Oryctolagus cuniculus: one gene and its partners. The protein of the gene in region 3 interacts with the protein of the main gene of each other region in a pairwise test. Links are inferred from orthologs where the notes say so. Each region holds a gene or a part of one and is shown on either strand. Other genes may lie near its edges. The genes, in order: VAMP4, BNIP3L, LMNA, myeloid zinc finger 1 and synaptonemal complex central element protein 1.

Region 1 (4,127 bases), about 16 Mb from region 3:
GAAGAAAAAGTGAAGAATTACCGTCTCCATAACTGGAGTTCATGAGAAAGAAAACAGGGGAGGAAATAATATAATTCAGGTTGGCTGGAGTCCTGACTCTAAATTCAGTGTTATTTATCATCTTTCAGGTTTACTGGCATATTGGATTCATGGTAACTGTAAAACGACATTTTCTAAGTTTTCACACATGTTAGGGAAATCAAAGGGACTTTGTTCAAGTGATTAAAGGTGAAGTTTGTATTTTCCCTCCCGTAAGCAATCATACCAAAAAGACTGGCAGATCCTTTTGGTTAAAAGACTAAGAGGCCAACGCAGTGGCGCAGTAGCTTGAGCCACCACTTAGGATGCTGACCACCTGTATCAGAGCACTGGTTGGAGCTTCCTAGCTGACTCCCAGCTAACTTACATAGGAAAGCAGCAGAAAATGGCCCAAGTACTTGGGCCCTGCCACCCACGTGAGAGACCAGGAAAGAGAACCCAGCCCCTGACTTCGGGCTAGACCAGACCTGGCTGTTAGAGCCATTTGGGGAGTGAACCTGTACAAGGAAGCTCTCTTTCTCTGTGTCTCTTCCTCTGTCTCTGACATTCTTACTTACAAGTCAAAGCATTTTTTAAAAATCTAAAAAAAAAAAAAAAAAAAAACTAAGAAAAAGAATAGATTACTCACAAATAGTACAGACACAAAATCACTTCAGAGAAGAACTAATTTCTGGGTTATCCGTGGAGGCTGGGACAGAAACTACAAGAGGCTTCCATTCCAGATGGACCACTTTTGTCCTCATCAGTAGCGAACTCCAGCTCTTGAGGGAGCCCAACCCCACTGCTCGCAGTCTGTGAACATAGCAAACTAAATCAGAATCTGAGTAGTGCCCGGGCACCAGTAGTTTCACAAGCCTTCCGGATACGGCAACTCCAGGGGCAAGCCTTAGCGGCGCCTTTTCAATTAGTGCATTAAGTCAACCACACAGAAACAGCAGCAGCATGTAAGAGCGTGTCTACTTCCTCCTCTCCCTGCGTGTCCCTTGGTCCTCTAAGCCACCTTCCTCTTCCCATTCGACTTCCTCAGCCTGGGGACGGATCTCGCACAAGCACCACCTAAAGGTCTTACCGACCCCAGTCACGAAGCTCCGAGCCCCACCCTAAGCTACTTCTCAGCGGCTCCGACACCGCTCCCCTCGCGCCCACCACGCACGCCTGATGCGCGCCAGCACCTCGAGAACCACTGTTCCTCCTCAAAACACAGCATAGCTTGGGTATCCAGATCTCAGACGGCTGGAAGGCCAGAGGTTCTTCGGGGTTAGACGCAGCGGGCGGAATCGACTCCCTCGGCGATCGCCGCGCCCTGGGCTGCCCCCTCCGCCTGCAGCCAGGCCGCGGAGCGCCGATCGGCTCGATGAGCGGGGGCGCAGCTGCGGCGCAGCGGCCGACGCCGGGTCCGCGCCCACTGTCTCCCCCTCCCAGCCTTTTCCCTCGGCTTCCCGCTCCTTCCCCCGCCCGCCCAGCGCCGCCCGCTCGGGAGAGCTGCCGGGAGCTCCCCGGGAGCCTCAGGTACTGGCGCCGGCCTCTTCCCGGCGGGAGGGGCTGGTGTGAGGAGGCAGGAAAGGAAGACGACGCCCCTGCCCCACGGCCCCCCAACGTCCGGGTCGGGCTAGGCGGGCAGGGGTCTAGGGGCCGGGGGCCGAGGAGCCCTGAGAGGGAAGGGGTTGGGGCCGGGGTCGGTGACGGGGTGTGCGGATGGGGGGCGGTTGTGGAGACTGGAGGTGAGGGGTGCGCTGGGGAGATGGGAAGAGAAGGGTGCGTGGATGAGGAAGATTTGTTCAGAGCGGGAGGTAGCTGGGGTGAGTGGGTGTCAGGGGCAGGATGGGCCCGAGTTAGCAGACGTGGGGGTCCGTGGCCTGGTGCGATCGCTGGAGTAAGGGGAGCTGCCTGTTGGAGGCTATGGAAATGGTGCTTTAAGGAAGGGCTGGGGCGAAAACACCAGCCCGTGTACGTTTCTAACCCCGGAAGGCGGGGGTCGGGCAGTACACTTGACAGGTTGTATGAATAACATCTCCAGTGTGTCCAGCCAAGTCTCTATTTCTGAGAGAGGGCAACCAAAGCTGCTGAGAGATGGGAAAGAGAAGTCAGAAAGGGATTGGAGGCTGGGAAAAGGAAGGCTGCTCAAATTCCAGCTTTTGTGAACTGAAAAACATAAATGGTGTGTGTGTGTGTTTGGTTTTCTTTGGAAAGCAAAAAGTCAGCATTTATTAAGCAGCAGATTAGAAGGTTATTACATATAAAGCCACGGAATAGAGAACACACTACAAAAATGCGTACATGAGGTTTTTTACCTGTGATGATGATGTAAGAAGTATAAAGTGTTGTGACATTTTTAAAGTGAATTGTGGAGTGGTGCCTGTCCTCAGTGTGGCAATACATAATGGTGGCTGCCTCATTTACATACAAACACCTAAATTCACAGGTATTTTTGTAGGAGAAATCTTAGGCAGAATATGTACGAATCCAATAGCTGAGCGTGGTTTATTTCTACTAGTTTGATACAAATATCTGTTGCCTTGTGACTCCTCAAGCATAGCTAATTAATCTTCCTTCTGGCTTTTCTGTTTGTCAGACATGATTTCTTGACTTTGTGAGGTTGATTCTTGGAGAATGGGACCTCGAAGGGGGTTTGCTCATCATTAAGATCTTATCTTTAGGTCTCATAAAGGCATTTTACAAGTCTTGCTTTGGGGCTGCTGAGGCAGCCTCTTTGTAGGGTTTAAAATATAAACAAACACATGAGAAAAGCTCAAGTTTCTCAGTTATTTGCTTTGTCATCTGTTTTTCCATGCATTCTGCAACATTCCTGCATGGATGAATTATTTGGAAATTGAAATATGGGGAATAAATGGACAGGACGTATGTGACAAAAACTGTGAATTGAAGAACTCTGGAACTGTTACTTAGGTGGCAACACTGGTTTATGTGACAAGTGGTTGAGTTTCTAACTTGGAAACATTTCTTTTCAGTATTTTTTTTATAGGAAGCTGGCTCAAAATATTTATTACCTTTATTAGGTCTTTGAACCTATACCCTGGTCCTTTTTCTTTCTTCAGTGCCCAACATTAGCTAACAAACTAATGCCTAACAATACCTAATTTAAAGATCTTAAATTCTTATGAAGAGGGAACAGGGCTCCTGGATTATCATGGGAAAATGTGTTTTCCAGGACAGAAATGTGTAACCTAATTGAGTAAATATTGGAGCTAATTATGGGGGCAGGCATTTAGCATAGTGGTTAAGACACTGGTTAAGATGCTTGCATCCCACATTTGAGTGCCTGAGTTCCATTCCTGGCTCCAGCTCCTGGTGTCAACTTCTTGCTAATGCACACTCTGGGAGGCAGCAGAGATGGCTGAAATGATTGGGTTCCTGCCACACATGTGGGAGACGTGGATTGAGTTTCAGGCTCCTGGCATCAGCTGGTAGGGGACCATCGTGGACATTTTGTGAGCAAGTAGCTGGGAACATGTTCTCTCTCTCTCTGTCTCCCTTCCTCCCTCCCTCTCAAATAAGCAAAGAAAGCTGATAATGCACAGCTGTCGAGCAATTTAGGTTTATGTCTCTGCTATTTCAATGACTGAAATGACAAACACTGTTATTTGTATTTACTAAGCCTTATTTTTTCTCTCAGTTTCTTAGTGCCTACTTCAAAAGAGTATCAAAGATTAAAAGAGAAAAATGCATGTGTATGGCTGAGTGCAAGGTGCAGCCCATAGTAAATAACATTCAGTACATCTTAGCTATTCTGAATTGCTGTATATTCACCCATCAAGTTCAAAATGCTGAAAATTCATATTTGCATAGGACAGCTTTTTCTGCCAGAAAATTTTAATTATATTGCATACTCAAGCATATTCCTAGAAAGTTACTATGCATGTTAACATGTAAGGGGCTGAGATGGTTCTGTAGCAAAGACTGGAGCTACTTACCTCAGTTCTGATATAAGGAAAACAAACACAGCTTTTTTTTTTTTTTTTTTTTTTTTTTTTTTTTTTTTTTTTTACTGTCTCATGACACAGAACACTTTTGTGACCCTAGAATTGGGGGGGGGGGGGGCAAACAATTCTTTCATAGATTATCTGGTG
Region 2 (3,513 bases), on a different chromosome or scaffold from region 3:
AGTGCAGCGAAAGAGATGATATTATTCCCACAAAAAATGGGAGAAACGAAGCTTTGTCCTAATAAGTTCCGTATCTACAACCACAGAGCAGGGTAGAGCTAGAAGCAGACCAGAAGTGGGCCCGTCTGCGTCTGTGGCCCCTGTTCCTTCTACTAAACTAGGCCACAGAAGGGGATTGAGAGCTGACAGGATCCTGAGAATGAACAGAAAATCCCTGGCGAGTGCAGTAGGGAGACGCCTGAGGCGATGCATTTAGGACAGAGGTCTCTCCAGCTGGGCTTACAGGATGATAGTCTTTGAGGGTCTAGGTTTTGTAGCAGAATATGGACATTGAAGATATTTTTGCTCTGTGTGTGGCCAGACAGGCTGGCTGGCTGTTGGGTGTCATTGAAAGATGATGTCCTCCTTGTTCCTCTGTTAGGAAGCTGGTCTCTCTGTCCATGGAGCTGAATATCCACCTTTAGACACCTAGGAAAGCTTACAACAGACCAAAGAGAGAAAACTTAAGTGATTAGGAGATGAGGGACTTCACATGACACCAGGCTAAATTGATCAGAATCTTCTCTGAACAGATATTGATGGATGTAGAGAGAAGGTTATTGATTTAGTTAAAACCAAGAATCTTAGATAACTAGATAATATGATTTTTTTCTTTTCATACTCTGCAATTCCAAGCACTGGGAGGCAATTTAAAAGCTAAAAGTAGCAAATTTGTGATTAATAAAAGGAAAGCACAGAGCAGGAGTAAGTGAGGAATGCACAGAACTGTTATTTTTAAAGTTAGCATTAAAATTCGGCTAGAAACTTACCTGGCGTTTTTTGTATTTAATACTAATCCAAAGATAATGTTGTTTTACTCAACTGAGAGAAAAATTGTATCCTCTGAGCAAAAAATTTTTGAGAGCATAAAATCTTAGCTTATTTTCCTATTGGAAAATAGGTAGTATTAACTTGTTCAAGGATCTGAACCTAAATCTTTGAGCAGTTTTAAAGAGACAAGTGAGGCCAGTGGAGAAGCTGTAAACTGAAAGGCCCTGCAGTGTGTTCACAGTCAGAGCCTCTGTGTGCACAGCCAATCTGCAAGTAAACTGTGCCGTTTCATTGTTTGTGAGTTAGGATGATTTCAGTCTCACTTCAAAGAGCCAACTCATGATTCTGAGTAATCTCAATGCCCAATGGAAAAAGCTCACCCGTAAATGCTACATTGTGTCACGGTGTGGAATCTGCCAAGTTCAGCAGAACTAGCTAAGAATGGCACTCACAAGAGTCACCCACGAACACAGGGCTTCCCCTGGGGTTTCTGTGCTGGAAGGGACTGTGTGTAGTGGCCGGCTCCTGTGGAAAAAGTATCATGTGGATGTGTCAGGCTCTGCATGTCTTAACTACTTTTTTTCCCTAAGATTTATCTTATTTTTTACTTGAAAGTCAGAGGGAGAGAAGGAGAGAGAGGTCTTCCATCCACTGGTTCACTCCCCAAATGGCGGCAGTGGCCAGAGCAGAGCCAAACCGAAGCCAAGGAGCTTCATCCCAGTCAGCCGTGTGGATGGCAGGGGCCCAGGCACTTAGACCATCTGCTGCTGCTTCCCAGGCGCATTAGCAGGGAGCTGGTTCTCAAGAACAGTGGACTTGAGCCAGTGCTAGGATGCCAGTGTCGCACGTGGTAGTTTTACCTGCTGCACCACAATGCCAGTCCCAGCCCCTTGAGTTCTTTAAAGATACTGAATACTCTAATCTTAGATCATTCTGTCAGCCTTTTGTTAAAAGAAAAAAAAGTAGCATATTACAGATAAATTACCGGTGCACAGCTATGTGAGTTCAGTCTATTGTTTGCCAGCTACGTCTTTGAATGAGCAGTTGGTTTTGCTTTCTTGTTTACAGTCAGAAGAAGAAGTTGTGGAAGGAGAGAAGGAAGTAGAGGCTTTGAAGAAGAGTGCAGACTGGGTATCGGATTGGTCCAGTAGACCTGAAAACATTCCACCCAAGTGAGTTCTCCACGTGCCTTCTCCGTGGGTGCCGGGGTTCTGTTTCACACGCCTGGTGGCAGTGGGCCTGGTCATCCCCGTGGCATCAGCAGATGCGATTGTGACACCAGCTCTGGTTTTCCTTCTCAGGGAGTTCCACTTCCGGCACCCGAAACGTTCTGTGTCTTTAAGCATGAGGAAAAGCGGCGCCATGAAGAAAGGGGGCATTTTCTCTGCAGAGTTCCTGAAGGTCTTCATCCCGTCTCTCTTCCTTTCCCACGTGCTGGCTTTGGGGCTGGGGTAAGTACCAGCGAATGCCTCCTTTCTTCCATTCATCCCGCCCTCGTGGTTTCTTTGCAGTAAGAAACTTGTGAACGCAGTGTGAATTGCTTTGCTTTTGTTTTAACTCAAGCGAGGATTAAACTTGGTACATGTTTGGTGTACCCATAATAAGGATTTTTAATAATAGGACTTTTTTCCTATTTGAAAATAAGATGTTCATACTGAATTTTTCTCTTTGGGTTTTGTTGCTTAACATTTAAGTCTTGAATAACTTATACAGAAAAGTAATTTTTAGTCTGAACACTTGGGGGTTGATGCTTTTTTTCCCGGATGAGAAGATGCGCCATAACACTGAGTAGACACTGGAGTGGAACTGGTAGGTGGGTTGTGGGCGCTGCTTTCTTTTCTGTGTAGCATTTTCATTTAGTCTAAAATCAGCCTCATATTTGCCAGTAACTCATTACTTTTTAAAGGCCTGTCTTTTAAATATTTTTTCCTTGATTTGAACAAGTGAGGACACTTATAAAACATTTTAAGAGTTAAATAGTAGTTGGTAATTTTTTTTTTTTTTTTTTAGATTTATTTATTTGAAAGGCAGAGTTACAGAGAGAGAGCTTCCATCCATTGGTTCACTCCACAAATGGCCACAACAGCTGGGTCGGGGCCATGCCAGAGCCAGGAGCTTCATCCAGGTCTCCCCTGTGGGTGCAGGGACCCAAGTTCTTAGACCGTCTTCCACTGCTTTCCCAGGCTCATTAGCAGGGAGTTGGATGGGAAGTGAGCAGCCAGGACTTGAACTGGCACCCAGATGAGATGCTGGCATTGCGGGTGGCAGCTTAGGTTGTTATACTACAATGCCAGCTGTGGCTGATAATTTTTTCTTTTTATTTTTTAGTATTTTTTTTATTTATTTGAAAGGCAGGGGCAGATAGAGACAGAGAGAAAGGTCTTCCATCCGCTGGTTCACTCCCCAGTTGGCTGCAACTGCCAGAGCTGTGCAGATCCGAAGCCAGGAGCTTCTTCTGGGTCTCCCACACCGGCGCCCATATGGACGCCAGCACTGCAAGCAGCGGCTTTACCCACGAGGCCGCAGTGCCGGCCCCTGGCTGGTAATTTTTTTCAAGAGCAACTTGTTATTCTCTGGAAGCTTGTTGAGTGGTCATTTTCTGTATGTGATGTACCAAAGATGGCCATCTCTTCCCTTTGTGGGGAACTCAGCTGTCACACAGAGATGCGAACACAGAGACACAGATACAACTTTCCACACACA
Region 3 (3,513 bases):
AGGGCAGCCAGTGAAGTTCCAAAACATTCTTTAATGAAAAGATTTTTGGGCGTGAGGGGCTGCCCCCAGGTCTGGCCAGGCTTGGCCTCAGCGGCGGCTGCCACTCACATGGTGATGATGGAGCAGGTCATCTCCATCCTCGTCGTCGTCGTCCTCCACCACAGTCACCGAGCGCACCAGCTTGCGCATGGCCACCTCCTGCCAGGGACACAGACCTGAGGGTGAGGGGCCACACGGGGCCGGCGGGGGGGTGGGGGCGGCGTGCGGCACACCTACCCACGGGGACCGCCAGCAGCCGGCCTGCTGCTGACCCTGCCCTCTGTGGGGCCGGCGCTAAGGAACTTGCTCCCACCCCAGGGAGGCACAACCACCACCCCCACCCCCACCCCCACCCCCCGTAGGAGACCGGCAAAGTGACCGTCCGACTGTGGCCACTAGGGGGAGCCCTGCCCAGCCCGCAGCACACTCACTTCCCCAGTGGAATTGATGAGAGCCGTGCGCAGGCTGTTTCCACAGCCCCAAGTGTTCTGCGCCTTCCACACCAGGTCGGTAGGGGGGCTGTGGGTGGCCCCGGCTCCAGCAGCCCAGATCTGGAGAAAAGGAAGCGGGAAAGGGCACTCACTCCGTGCTACTGTCCTCAGGCCCGTCCTCCACACACACACACACACACACACACACCCCGCCCCAGGCTACCGCAGGGCGCCAAGCGCCCTGCCACTCACCGTCACCACCTGCCCGGCCTTCAGGGTGAACTTGGGCGGGAAGCGGTAAGTCAGCAAGGGGTCATCTCCGTTTTGGCGCTTGATCTGCCAGTTGCCCATGGACTGGTCCTGCCAGGCAGGGAGGGAAGGGGGAGAAGGGGAGGTGTATCCTGGTTCTTTGGGTTAATCTCACCCGCTGCCGGCACTCAGAGGCTCCTGGTCCCTCTACCCCATTACTGCCTTGCCCCCCCCCCCTACTAAAAAACAGCCGCCACCATGGACTTCATGGTGCGCCATCTTTCACCTGGGGGCTATCACTCATGTCCATTTTACAGATGAGCAGACTGATCCCCCGAGAGGCGACATAACTTGTCCCAGGTTTCCCAGGCAGGACTGGAACCAGGGAGCGGGAGACATACACACTGGCCCTGGCTGCCCGCAGAGGGAATGAAGGAAGGGTCCTCCCGGGTTCCCTCCGCCCTTCCTCTTGCAGTATCCCCTCAGGCCCCGCCCAGGATGGGGTGTGGTGGGGAAGGGGCGGGGCTACCTCATTGGACTTGTTGCGCAGCCGCACAAACTTGCCCTCCTCATCCACCTCCTCCACTGCCACGCGCCCGCTGGTGCGCGCGTGCTGCGAGAAGCTGCTGCGGCTCTCGGCCGACTCCAGCTTCCGCTTCTTGGTGATGCTGCCCCCGCCCTGCGTCTGGGACGAGTGCGAAGAGGCACGGCCCCTGCGCTGCGAGGTGGGACTGGGGGACAGGCGTAGCCTGGGGAGGGGAGGAGACAGAGTTAGGGGAAGGGGTCTCATGCAGGCCCGGCGCAGGCCAGGGCCTATTGCTGGAGCTCCCGGGTGCTCCCCAGCCCACCTCTCCTCCTCGCCCTCCAGGAGCTTGCGGTAGGCATGGATCTCCATGTCCAGGGCCAGCTTGATGTCCAGCAGCTCCTGGTACTCGTCCAGCTGCTGCTGCATCCTTGCCCGCATCTCGGCCATCTCCCGCTCTTTCTCCGCCAGCAGCCGCCGGCTGGTGTCCCGCTCCCGGGCCAGCGAGTCCTCCAGGTCCCGCAGCTTCGCTTCCTTGGCTGCCAGCTGAGATGGGGAGAGGCGGGGGTGTGTGAGCTCCCGAGGGGAAAATCAACACGCCCTAGACGTGCAGGTGCAGTGAGACAAAGCGGACAGGACACTTGCTTCCAAATCCTGGGCCCCAGCTCATTCTCTCGGCCTGCAGTCCTGGAGGCGTGCTCATCTCTCCCCTCCCCTCCGCCCTCCAGACCTCACCCTGGGTGCCCCCCCCATCCGTGCTGTCCCCAGAGGCACCTGCTTCTGCAGCTGGCTGAGCTGGGCCGAGAGGCTGTCGATGCGGATGCGGGACTGCTGCAGCTCCTCGTGCGCGGCCCCCACCAGGTTGCTGTTCCGCTCAGCAGACTGCCTGGCGTTGTCCAGCTGCGGGGAAGGCCGGGGGGGCGGGGGGAGTTTAGGAGGGCGGGGCCTGAGGACGGCATTGCTGGGGCGGCCTCAGATCCCGGGGTGGGGTGTGGGGGGGGGCACCTTGGCGGAGTAGGTCTTCTCCAGCTCCTTCTTGTATTGCTCCACCTGGTCCTCGTGCTGGGCCCGCAGTTCCTGCAGCGCGTCGGCCAGCCGGCTCTCAAACTCGCGCTGCTTCCCGTTGTCGATCTCCACCAGCCGGGTCTCGTGGCGCCGCTTGGTCTCACGCAGCTCCTGGAAGGGGTGGGAACAAGGACACGGAACCCATAAATCGGCCCCCGTTCCTTACAGCTCGGGCCTGGCCCGGCCCCCTGGCCCCGGCATCTCCAACCCCCATGCGCAAGCCCCACCTCGCTGTAGATGTTCTTCTGGAAGTCCAGCTCCTCCTTCAGGGTCTGCAGCCGGTTCTCGGCGTCCACTCGCCGCAGCATCTCGTCCTGCAGCTGCTTCTTGGCCTCCCCCAGGGCTGCCTCGAGCTAAGAGGAAGTGGGCAGAGGGGTCACGGGATGTGCCAGCTGCAGCGATGCCGAGCCCCAGGCCGTTCCCAGCGGGTCCCTTCCATGCATAGGGACAGGTCCAGGGGGAAGCGAGGCCTTGGGGTGCCCGGGGAGGTTAGGATGGGGATGACTTGGGTAGCTCTTGTGCTAAGAAATGAAAGCCACAGCCCTCCCACCCTCGTAAGACCTCCAAACTGTGGCACAAGATAGCAGTTGCTAGGAGGGCGGTGTGTACAGAGCACAGCGGGGAAGGAACCAGTGTGGCTGGAGTGGTGGAAGAAGGGGTCTGGGAGGCTTGATAGGGCAGCCTGGGGAGGGGCCAAGACAGCACGTGCAAAGGCACGGGGCTACGAAGGCACACACGTGTTCTAGGGCCTTCAGCTGATGGATGGGGCGGTGAAGTGATGGGTCATACAGAGATCCCTTTTTCAAAATTAATTAGATTTTTTATTTATTTGCGGGAAGAGAGATCAGCCATCTGCTGTTTCACTCCCCAAATGCCCACAACAGCCAAGCCTGGGGGAGGCTGAAGCCAGGGGCGGAGAACTGCATCTGGGTCTCCCATGTGGGAGCCATCCCTGCTGCCTCCTGTTCGCATTAGCAGGAAGCTGGAATAGGGAGCAGAGCCGGGACTCGAACCTGCTCAGCCACACCCGTGCCTTCTGCAGAGCTGTCTTTATCTGCCACGGAAAGAACCTCTGAGAAGCTCATACTGGGCAGCACCCTGCTCAGATGTTTGTTCTAGAAAGCACGGGCTGGGGGAAGGGTGGAGCTGGCGGCAGAAGATCCAGGAGGCCAGCTGAGGTTTTGTCATCGTCCGCTGGCATCTCCC
Region 4 (3,513 bases), on a different chromosome or scaffold from region 3:
TCCTGTCTCACTCACCTGGAGAGAAGATGTCTCCAGCTTCCTCATGCCATAGGGGCCCTGGGCAGTCCTTCCATGAGGGCCCCTCAGGCCCAGTCTCACTCTGTGGAGAGGCCTGGTCCAGCGCTGTCTCACAGCCCTGAAACCAGAGTGGCCACTGCTCACTTATGCCCAGCTGGGCCCAGGCAGAGGGCCTCCCTGACACTCTGACTCAGGGAGTGGGTCGCAGGCTGTACAGGGCTCACCTGGGCCTCCTCAGGTGGAAGGGTGGGTACAGCCTCTAGAAGCCCAGAGTCCAGAAGCTCTAGAGAGAAAGAGTGGGTCAGGCAGTCCAAGGGAGTTCTCACTGGTGTGCCGTGAGCCAGGACTTAGGCAGGGAGAAGATCTGGGTATGGGCTGGGGTGGGGCAAAGCAGGGTACCCTGGGAGGTGAGGGGTCAAGCTGCAGTGGTATGAGGTGGCTTGCATGCCAGGGGACAGCTGTGGAAGTGGGGCTGTGGCCGTCAGGGCTGACATCTAAAGGGGGGTGAGTCAGAGGGGAGACCTGACTGGGTGAGAGATGGGAACCATTCCATCTAACAGGGGTGCGGCTCAGTGGACTCAGACTGCCTAGTCCAGGCCACCCTGGTCCCTGCCCACCCTCACCTGGGTCTTCTGTAACCTCTGGCTCCTCTTTCACCTGTAGGCCCAGTGGTGACTGCTGCATGGCCTCAGGCAGTATCTTGGGCCCAGGCTCTGGAGTTTGAGGTAGAGAATGGAAGCTGGAGGGGTCCATCCTCTCTGATAGGACCTCTTGGCCCTGCACATGGACTGTGACCTGTGGAGGTGTCCCCACCATGAGGGCCAAGCAGAAAATAGGGCTGTGTGCGGCTTGGAGTCCAGGGACACCCACCCATTCCAAGACCCCACGGATCTGCCTGGTAAACCTAAGTCCTTCAAGGACCTACCTCCTCTGGGCTCCAGTCAGGAAGTAAAGTTGCTTTCCTGCTGACACACAGCACTACCTGGTACCCTCCTCTCTCCCATCCTGTAGTTCCCAGGTGATGCAAGAATGGGCTGGTGAGCCTGGCTCTGGAACCCCTCCCTGCCCTGGGCAGCCTTGCAGTCTACTGCAGTGTGGTCCCTCCTCTCCCACAGGGATATGCATGTGTGTGACGACGGCACCTCCCCCCACCCCCAGAGTAAAGCGCAGCTGGACAGCGCTCCGGCCTGACCCCTCTGCTCAGGGCCACTGACTCACCCATCGCCGAGGCCCGCCTGGCTCCTGGCGAAGCCTGTCAACCAAGGTAGCAGCCTCCTCGGGGCTGCCTGGCTGCTGCCCCTGCACATGAACCTGGATCTCGGGGGGCAGCGCGCCCAGGAACTGCTCCAGCACCAGCAGCTCCAGCATCTGCTCCTTGGAGTGCACATCCGGCTGCAGCCAGTCCCGACACAGCTCTCGGAGCCGGGCCAGGGCCTCTCGGGGACCCACTGCCTCCTCGTAGCGGAAACACCGGAAGCGCAGGCGTGCGGCCTCGGGGCCTGGGTCCCACAGGGCAGCTTCGCCTTCCTCCTCGGAGTCCTCCAGCTTCACCGTGAAAGGCCCCTCGTCTTCTGGGGGTGTGCCACCTGCGGAGCCCAGCCCAGCTGGTCTCATTGAGAGTAACAGAGCAGCTCTCTGAGGCCGTTGTCTGCCCCTAGAGCAAGCACAGACAGTGGCAGCACACACAGGTAGAACACCCACTGAATGAACCTCCAACCTGCCCCGCTTGGAGGGCAGATGATCAGACAAGCACGGGCCACGCCCAGGGCTGTCGGGGCTGGGCGCTTCCACTGAGCCACTGCTGCTGGCTTCTTAGCTGGGCCTGTGTGGAGTGTGGTCGCTCTTACCCCAAACAGTGTTTCTTAGGCCTAGAAGAGACCTTCTCCTAAATACAGCCACCTTCCATGAGCGCAGTCTCATCCCTGCTCTGTGCTGTCCTACCAGGTGGACACACCTGTACCACCTGCTGCCCACTCGCTCCCAGCACCTGCACCACCGGCTGCCTACTCCCTCCCACACCTGTACAACTGCTGCCCACTCCCTCCCACACCTGCACCACCTGCTGCCCACTCCCTCCCACACCTGCACCACCTACTGCCCACTCCCTCCCGCACCTGTACCACCTGCTGCCCACTCCCTCCCACACCTGCACCACCTACTGCCCACTCCCTCCCACACCTGTACAACTGCTGCCTACTCCCTCCCAGCACCTACACCACCTACTGCCCACTCCCTCCCACACCTGCACCACCTACTGCCCACTCCCTCCCGCACCTGCACCACCTACTGCCCACTCCCTCCCACACCTGCACCACCTACTGCCCACTCCCTCCCGCACCTGCACCACCTACTGCCCACTCCCTCCCACACCTGCACCACCTACTGCCCACTCCCTCCCGCACCTACACCACCTACTGCCCACTCCCTCCCACACCTGCACCACCTGCTGCCCACTCCCTCCCACACCTGCACCACCTGCTGCCCACTCCCTCCCGCACCTGCACCACCTGCTGCCCACTCCCTCCCACACCTGTACCACCTGCTGCCCACTCCCTCCCACACCTGCACCACCTGCTGCCCACTCCCTCCCACACCTGTACCACCTGCTACCCACTCCCTCCCAGCACCTGCACCACCTGCTGCCCACTCCCTCCCACACCTGCACCACCTGCTACCCACTCCCTCCCACACCTGTACAACTGCTGCCCACTCCCTCCCACACCTGCACCACCTGCTGCCCACTCCCTCCCACACCTGTACCACCTGCTACCCACTCCCTCCCAGCACCTGCACCACCTGCGGCCCACTCCCTCCCACACCTGCACCACCTACTGCCCACTCCCTCCCACACCTGCACCACCTACTGCCCACTCCCTCCCAGCACCTGCACCACCTGCTGCCCACTCCCTCCCACACCTGCACCACCTACTGCCCACTCCCTCCCACACCTGCACCACCTGCTGCCCACTCCCTCCCACACCTGCACCACCTACTGCCCACTCCCTCCCAGCACCTGCACCACCTGCTGCCCACTCCCTCCCACACCTGCACCACCTGCTGCCCACTCCCTCCCACACCTGCACCACCTGCTGCCCACTCCCTCCCAGCACCTGCACCACCTACTGCCCACTCCCTCCCGCACCTGCACCACCTGCTGCCCACTCCCTCCCACACCTGCACCACCTGCTGCCCACTCCCTCCCACACCTGCACCACCTGCTGCCCACTCCCTCCCGCACCTGCACCACCTACTGCCCACTCCCTCCCACACCTGTACCACCTACTGCCCACTCCCTCCCACACCTGCACCACCTGCTGCCCACTCCCTCCCACACCTGCACCACCTGCTGCCCACTCCCTCCCGCACCTGCACCACCTACTGCCCACTCCCTCCCACACCTGCACCACCTGCTGCCCACTCCCTCCCACACCTGCACCACCTGCTGCCCACTCCCTCCCGCACCTGCACCACCTACTGCCCACTCCCTCCCACACC
Region 5 (4,014 bases), on a different chromosome or scaffold from region 3:
ACTTTGAAGTGCAGATACTGGGCTGTACCTGGAAAGTTATCGGGGTGACTTTGAGATGCAGATGCCTTGTCACACACACATAAGCTAATTTCTGACTTCCTACCTAACATTCCCCCCTCAAGAGAGAAATTCCCATAATTCTTTTTGGGATAAATGGGCGAAGTTCCATCTTCTGTAGCTACTTTGGAAGCTGACAAATGGGCGTAGAGATGGATATGGATATTTCCTCTTTTTTTTTTTTTTTTTTTTTTTTTGACAGGCAGAGTGGACAGTGAGAGAGAGAGACAGAGAGAAAGGTCTTCCTTTGCCGTTGGTTCACCCTCCAATGGCTGCTGCGGCCGGCGCACCGCGCTGATCCGATGGCAGGAGCCAGGTACTTATCCTGGTCTCCCATGGGGTGCAGGGCCCAAGCACTTGGACCATCCTCCACTGCACTCCTGGGCCACAGCAGAGAGCTGGACTGGAAGAGGGGCAACCGGGACAGAATCCGGTGCCCCGACCGGGACTAGAACCCAGTGTGCCGGCGCCGCAAGGCAGAGGATTAGCCTAGTGAGCCACAGCACTGGCCTGGATATTTCCTCTTGCTACCTGTCCTATAGTGTGCGACAGTGGCCCTGGAAAGACTGTCCTGCTTAGTCCAGAGTGCTGCTCAGGTTGTCCAATGGAATGGGCTGGAAGCCTTGCCTGACGACCATTTGGAGTTCGACAGCTTTTATAATGTTAGAAACAAAATGAACAAACATACAGTCCAAAGAGAAGCATCAAGATTACAGAAGTTATAGGGCCAAAGAAAGGAAATAGTCAGGATTTCCATGACCAGCTGTCAGGCCAGAAATCCCAGCCCTGCTTGGCCTGATCCTGCAGCTGTTTGGCTTTGTCCAGGAAAGGACAAATTTGGGTTTGTACCTGTGCAGTCTGATTGACCCAGGAACAACGTTCTTCCTGGAGCATGGCAGACACCTCCCTGAGCGGCAATCAGCATATCCAATGCTCATCTGTTTTGGAGAACAACTGAACCAAAGAATTGATCACAGACACACCTGCACACGAGTGTGCACACAGCTGAGACACAGACCACGCTGTACATGTGTGTACACAGAGGAGATGCGGACACAGCTGTACACGTATGTGCACACAGCTGAGGTGCACATGCCTGCATACGTGCGCATGCGCAGTGGCTGCCGGGCAGGGCGCCCCGCTGGGTGACGGCGCGCTGAGCGCACTGCGCAGGCGTCAGCGTCGTCCAATCAGCGGTCAAGGCGCCGAGGCACAGGCGCCGCCGAGCTGAGAGGAAATGGCCGCGCGGTCCGGGCCTTCGCGTGTGGAGCCCATGGGCGCCGCGGACCGCGCCGAGAAGGCTGCAGGTGGCGGGAGCGCGGCGGGGCCTCCCTGGGCAGGGGGCGTCGCGGCTTCCAAGAGCGGAAGGCGTGGGGTGGCGTCGGCCGGGCGTGCCGGGCCTGGCCCCGCCTTCCTGGCCCCGACGCACCTGCGGACTCGCGGTCCCCGTGGTCCTCACCTGAGCGCAAGCAGGCTTCCCAGGGGGTTCCCCAGACCGCGCCTCGCCGCCAGGACGGGAGGGGGCGGCAGGGCCCCCAGCCCCGCCAGGTCCGAGCCCCCGCCCGCGCCGCGCCCCCTGTCGGATGTCGCCCGCCCGCAGGGTCCGTCCTGCCCACCCAGGGCTGCACACAGGGACGGGGCCGCAGCTCTGGGAGTGCCCCTGGGCCCGGGCCGGCGGGCCCTCCTGGGCCCCGTCTTCACGCTGACGGGCGTGGTTTCGCACCACAGGGCAGGACAAGTCACAGAAGATTGACGACCTGATGGACGTGGTGGCGAGGCTGCAGAAAGGTCCTGTGTCCCGTGGTCAGGGGCTCGGCCTGGGTAGGGTCAGCCTGTGGGCTCGGTGCAGGCCCACGGCTCACCACGCCGAGGACTCAGCCCCGAGCGCTTTCTTTCACGTATTCTTTCCTTCCACGGTGTTTGCTTACTTTTTATAAAGAGTTCACTTATTTATTTGAAAGGCCCAGTACGGGGCCGGGGGAGACAGGCGAGGTCTTCCAGCCGCCGGTTCACTCTCCAAAAGGCTGCAGTGGCCACGGCTGGGCCAGTGCAAAGCCAGGGGCCAGGAGCTTCCTCTAGGCCTCCCACGTGGGTACAGGGACCCAAGGACACGGACCATCTTCCACTGCTTTCCCGGGTGAATTCGGGAGCTGGGCCCAGCGGAAGCAGCCGACACTGGACGTGGAGCCCACGTGGGATGCCGGTTGTCTCCACTGGCAGCTTTGCCCGCTGCACCAGTGCCATCCCCCATCACACACACTCAGTGCACACTGACACACACTCACACTTTCACACACACTCTGACACACACACACACACACTCACTCCTCACTTTATAACCCGTTATCACACTTCACTTCTCTTTCCCTGTGTCCGGATCTCCAGCTGTCTGTTTCTTGTCTCCCACCGAGAATGTGAGCTGTAAGGGGACCACACAGCCCTGCTGGGAGTCTGTGAACCGGAAGCAGCACGGGCAGGGCGGGAACCATGGCCTCCCGCTGTGTCAGCTCCATCTCTGTTTACTCCCTGCAGTGGGGAGCCTGGAGCCCCGAGTCGAGGTCCTGATTAACCGCATTAATGAGGTTCAGCAAGGTGAGCTCAGGGACCTTGGCCTGCAGCGGGGGCTGTGTGATGTGTAGGGCTCCTCGTCTGAAAATTACAGATAGTCACAGCACAACGGCAGAGCACTAATTAATACCAGAGCGTTCCCCACGCACCTGCCACAGTGCTATCAGGAGCCTTGTCACCTCCTCTGTAAGATTCAGGCCCCTCCATGTTTGCTGGAAAACAGGCGTGCAGTGTTCATGTTTGCAAGAGGGTGGTGCTGCCCCGGCCGTACTCACACAGTGTCTCCCTTCTGCTCTTTGTTGAAGCCAAAAAGAAAGCCAGCGAGGAGCTGGGGGAAGCCCGGACTGTGTGGGAAGCCCTGCAGAAGGAACTGGATGTGTGTATGTGACGTGGGCGTCGCCGGAGGCCTCTGCAGTGTCCAGCTTACCCCACCCGAGTACTGCGGCATCTATGCTGTGGCCAAGAGCCCTGCCCCTTTGCAGCCTCAGGCCCTGCCCGTATCTCCCTCTCCCCTCTGCTGGTGCGGGTGTCCTGGGAACACCTCCCCAGCATACTCTTGCTTCTGGGCCTTTGCCCGGCTGCCCTGCAACTCCCAGATACTACAGATTCCTCTGCTGCCTGGGTTGTCACTCAGCTGTCCCCTTCTCGGAGGCTTTTCCCAATCCCCCTACCTAAAGATTCCACACTGTCCCCACTGGTCAGATGCCCTTCCTGCTCCATGTCCTCACCCCATTTCACGTGGGAGGAGAGACACTGGCATCCCGTGGAGTCCCCCCAGCCACCCTTAATAAATGTCAGGGTTGTTTGGTGCCTACAGAGAGGGTGGGCACCAGAGGGGCGGGGTCTGGGGGGTGAGGCAGACCCATGTGACGCGGGCCACCCAATCCCTGAGGGTCTGTGGGGTCCCTCCTGATGCCTGAGCATTTGTTGTGTCTTCTAGTGCATGGAGAGAAAGCACGTGTGCAGGAGATCCTGAACAAAAAGCAAGGTATTTACAGGCCCTCCGTCTCCAGCTCTGCCTCTCACGCCTGGGAGAAACCCCTCTCCCTTTGGCAGCTGAGGTCTCAGACACCTGCCTCAGCCTCCTGTGGCGTGTACCAGTCCAATCAGGTGTCCATGGGCCTGACGTGACCTGGTCCTGTTCTCTGCGCAGACCTGGGGCCGTGACGAGCTCACAGGCCCTGTTCTCCCCACAGAGACCCTGAGGATCCTCCGGCTGCACTGCCAGGAGAAGGAGAGTGAGGCACAGAGGTGAGAGCCTCGTTGTGAGGGGGCAGAGGTACAAAGGAGGTGAGGTTGAGACCCTCTGTACAGTGTGGGTCAAAGGGGGCCTCCCCTCAGCTTCCTCCAGGTCACCCACACGGGTGCAGGGGCCCAAGCACTTGGGCC

Evidence for each region.
Region 1: the proteins of LMNA (region 3) and VAMP4 interact in a two-hybrid assay, tested with the Homo sapiens proteins (2 studies listed by BioGRID and IntAct, with this or other methods). The link is inferred for Oryctolagus cuniculus from reciprocal best matches to the Homo sapiens genes LMNA and VAMP4.
Region 2: the proteins of LMNA (region 3) and BNIP3L interact in a two-hybrid assay, tested with the Homo sapiens proteins (2 studies listed by BioGRID and IntAct). The link is inferred for Oryctolagus cuniculus from reciprocal best matches to the Homo sapiens genes LMNA and BNIP3L.
Region 4: the proteins of LMNA (region 3) and myeloid zinc finger 1 interact in binary tests that used the Homo sapiens proteins (3 or more experiments, as listed by UniProt). The link is inferred for Oryctolagus cuniculus from reciprocal best matches to the Homo sapiens genes LMNA and ZSCAN12.
Region 5: the proteins of LMNA (region 3) and synaptonemal complex central element protein 1 interact in binary tests that used the Homo sapiens proteins (3 or more experiments, as listed by UniProt). The link is inferred for Oryctolagus cuniculus from reciprocal best matches to the Homo sapiens genes LMNA and SYCE1.

Annotation. Positions count from the first base shown.
Region 1 is NC_091438.1:26,791,264-26,795,390, forward strand, and holds the start of VAMP4 (vesicle-associated membrane protein 4), read left to right. Parts: upstream 1-1,327; 5' UTR 1,328-1,548; intron 1,549-4,127. UniProt on the Homo sapiens protein: Involved in the pathway that functions to remove an inhibitor (probably synaptotagmin-4) of calcium-triggered exocytosis during the maturation of secretory granules.
Region 2 is NC_091433.1:47,839,872-47,843,384, reverse strand, and holds part of BNIP3L (BCL2/adenovirus E1B 19 kDa protein-interacting protein 3-like), read left to right. Parts: intron 1-1,878; coding exon 1,879-1,982; intron 1,983-2,111; coding exon 2,112-2,261; intron 2,262-3,513.
Region 3 is NC_091438.1:42,571,716-42,575,228, forward strand, and holds part of LMNA (lamin), read right to left. Parts: intron 2,661-3,513; coding exon 2,535-2,660; intron 2,419-2,534; coding exon 2,248-2,418; intron 2,143-2,247; coding exon 2,017-2,142; intron 1,789-2,016; coding exon 1,568-1,788; intron 1,469-1,567; coding exon 1,249-1,468; intron 831-1,248; coding exon 723-830; intron 591-722; coding exon 471-590; intron 199-470; coding exon 109-198; intron 1-108.
Region 4 is NC_091449.1:76,756-80,268, reverse strand, and holds part of myeloid zinc finger 1, read right to left. Parts: intron 1,887-3,513; exon of another isoform or gene 1,673-1,886; coding exon 1,237-1,672; intron 814-1,236; coding exon 642-813; intron 302-641; coding exon 243-301; intron 137-242; coding exon 16-136; intron 1-15. UniProt on the Homo sapiens protein: May be involved in transcriptional regulation.
Region 5 is NC_091446.1:234,941-238,954, reverse strand, and holds the start of synaptonemal complex central element protein 1, read left to right. Parts: upstream 1-1,213; 5' UTR 1,214-1,294; coding exon 1,295-1,364; intron 1,365-1,466; exon of another isoform or gene 1,467-1,605; intron 1,606-1,785; coding exon 1,786-1,878; intron 1,879-2,589; coding exon 2,590-2,649; intron 2,650-2,930; coding exon 2,931-3,005; intron 3,006-3,565; coding exon 3,566-3,613; intron 3,614-3,821; coding exon 3,822-3,876; intron 3,877-4,014. UniProt on the Homo sapiens protein: Major component of the transverse central element of synaptonemal complexes (SCS), formed between homologous chromosomes during meiotic prophase. Requires SYCP1 in order to be incorporated into the central element.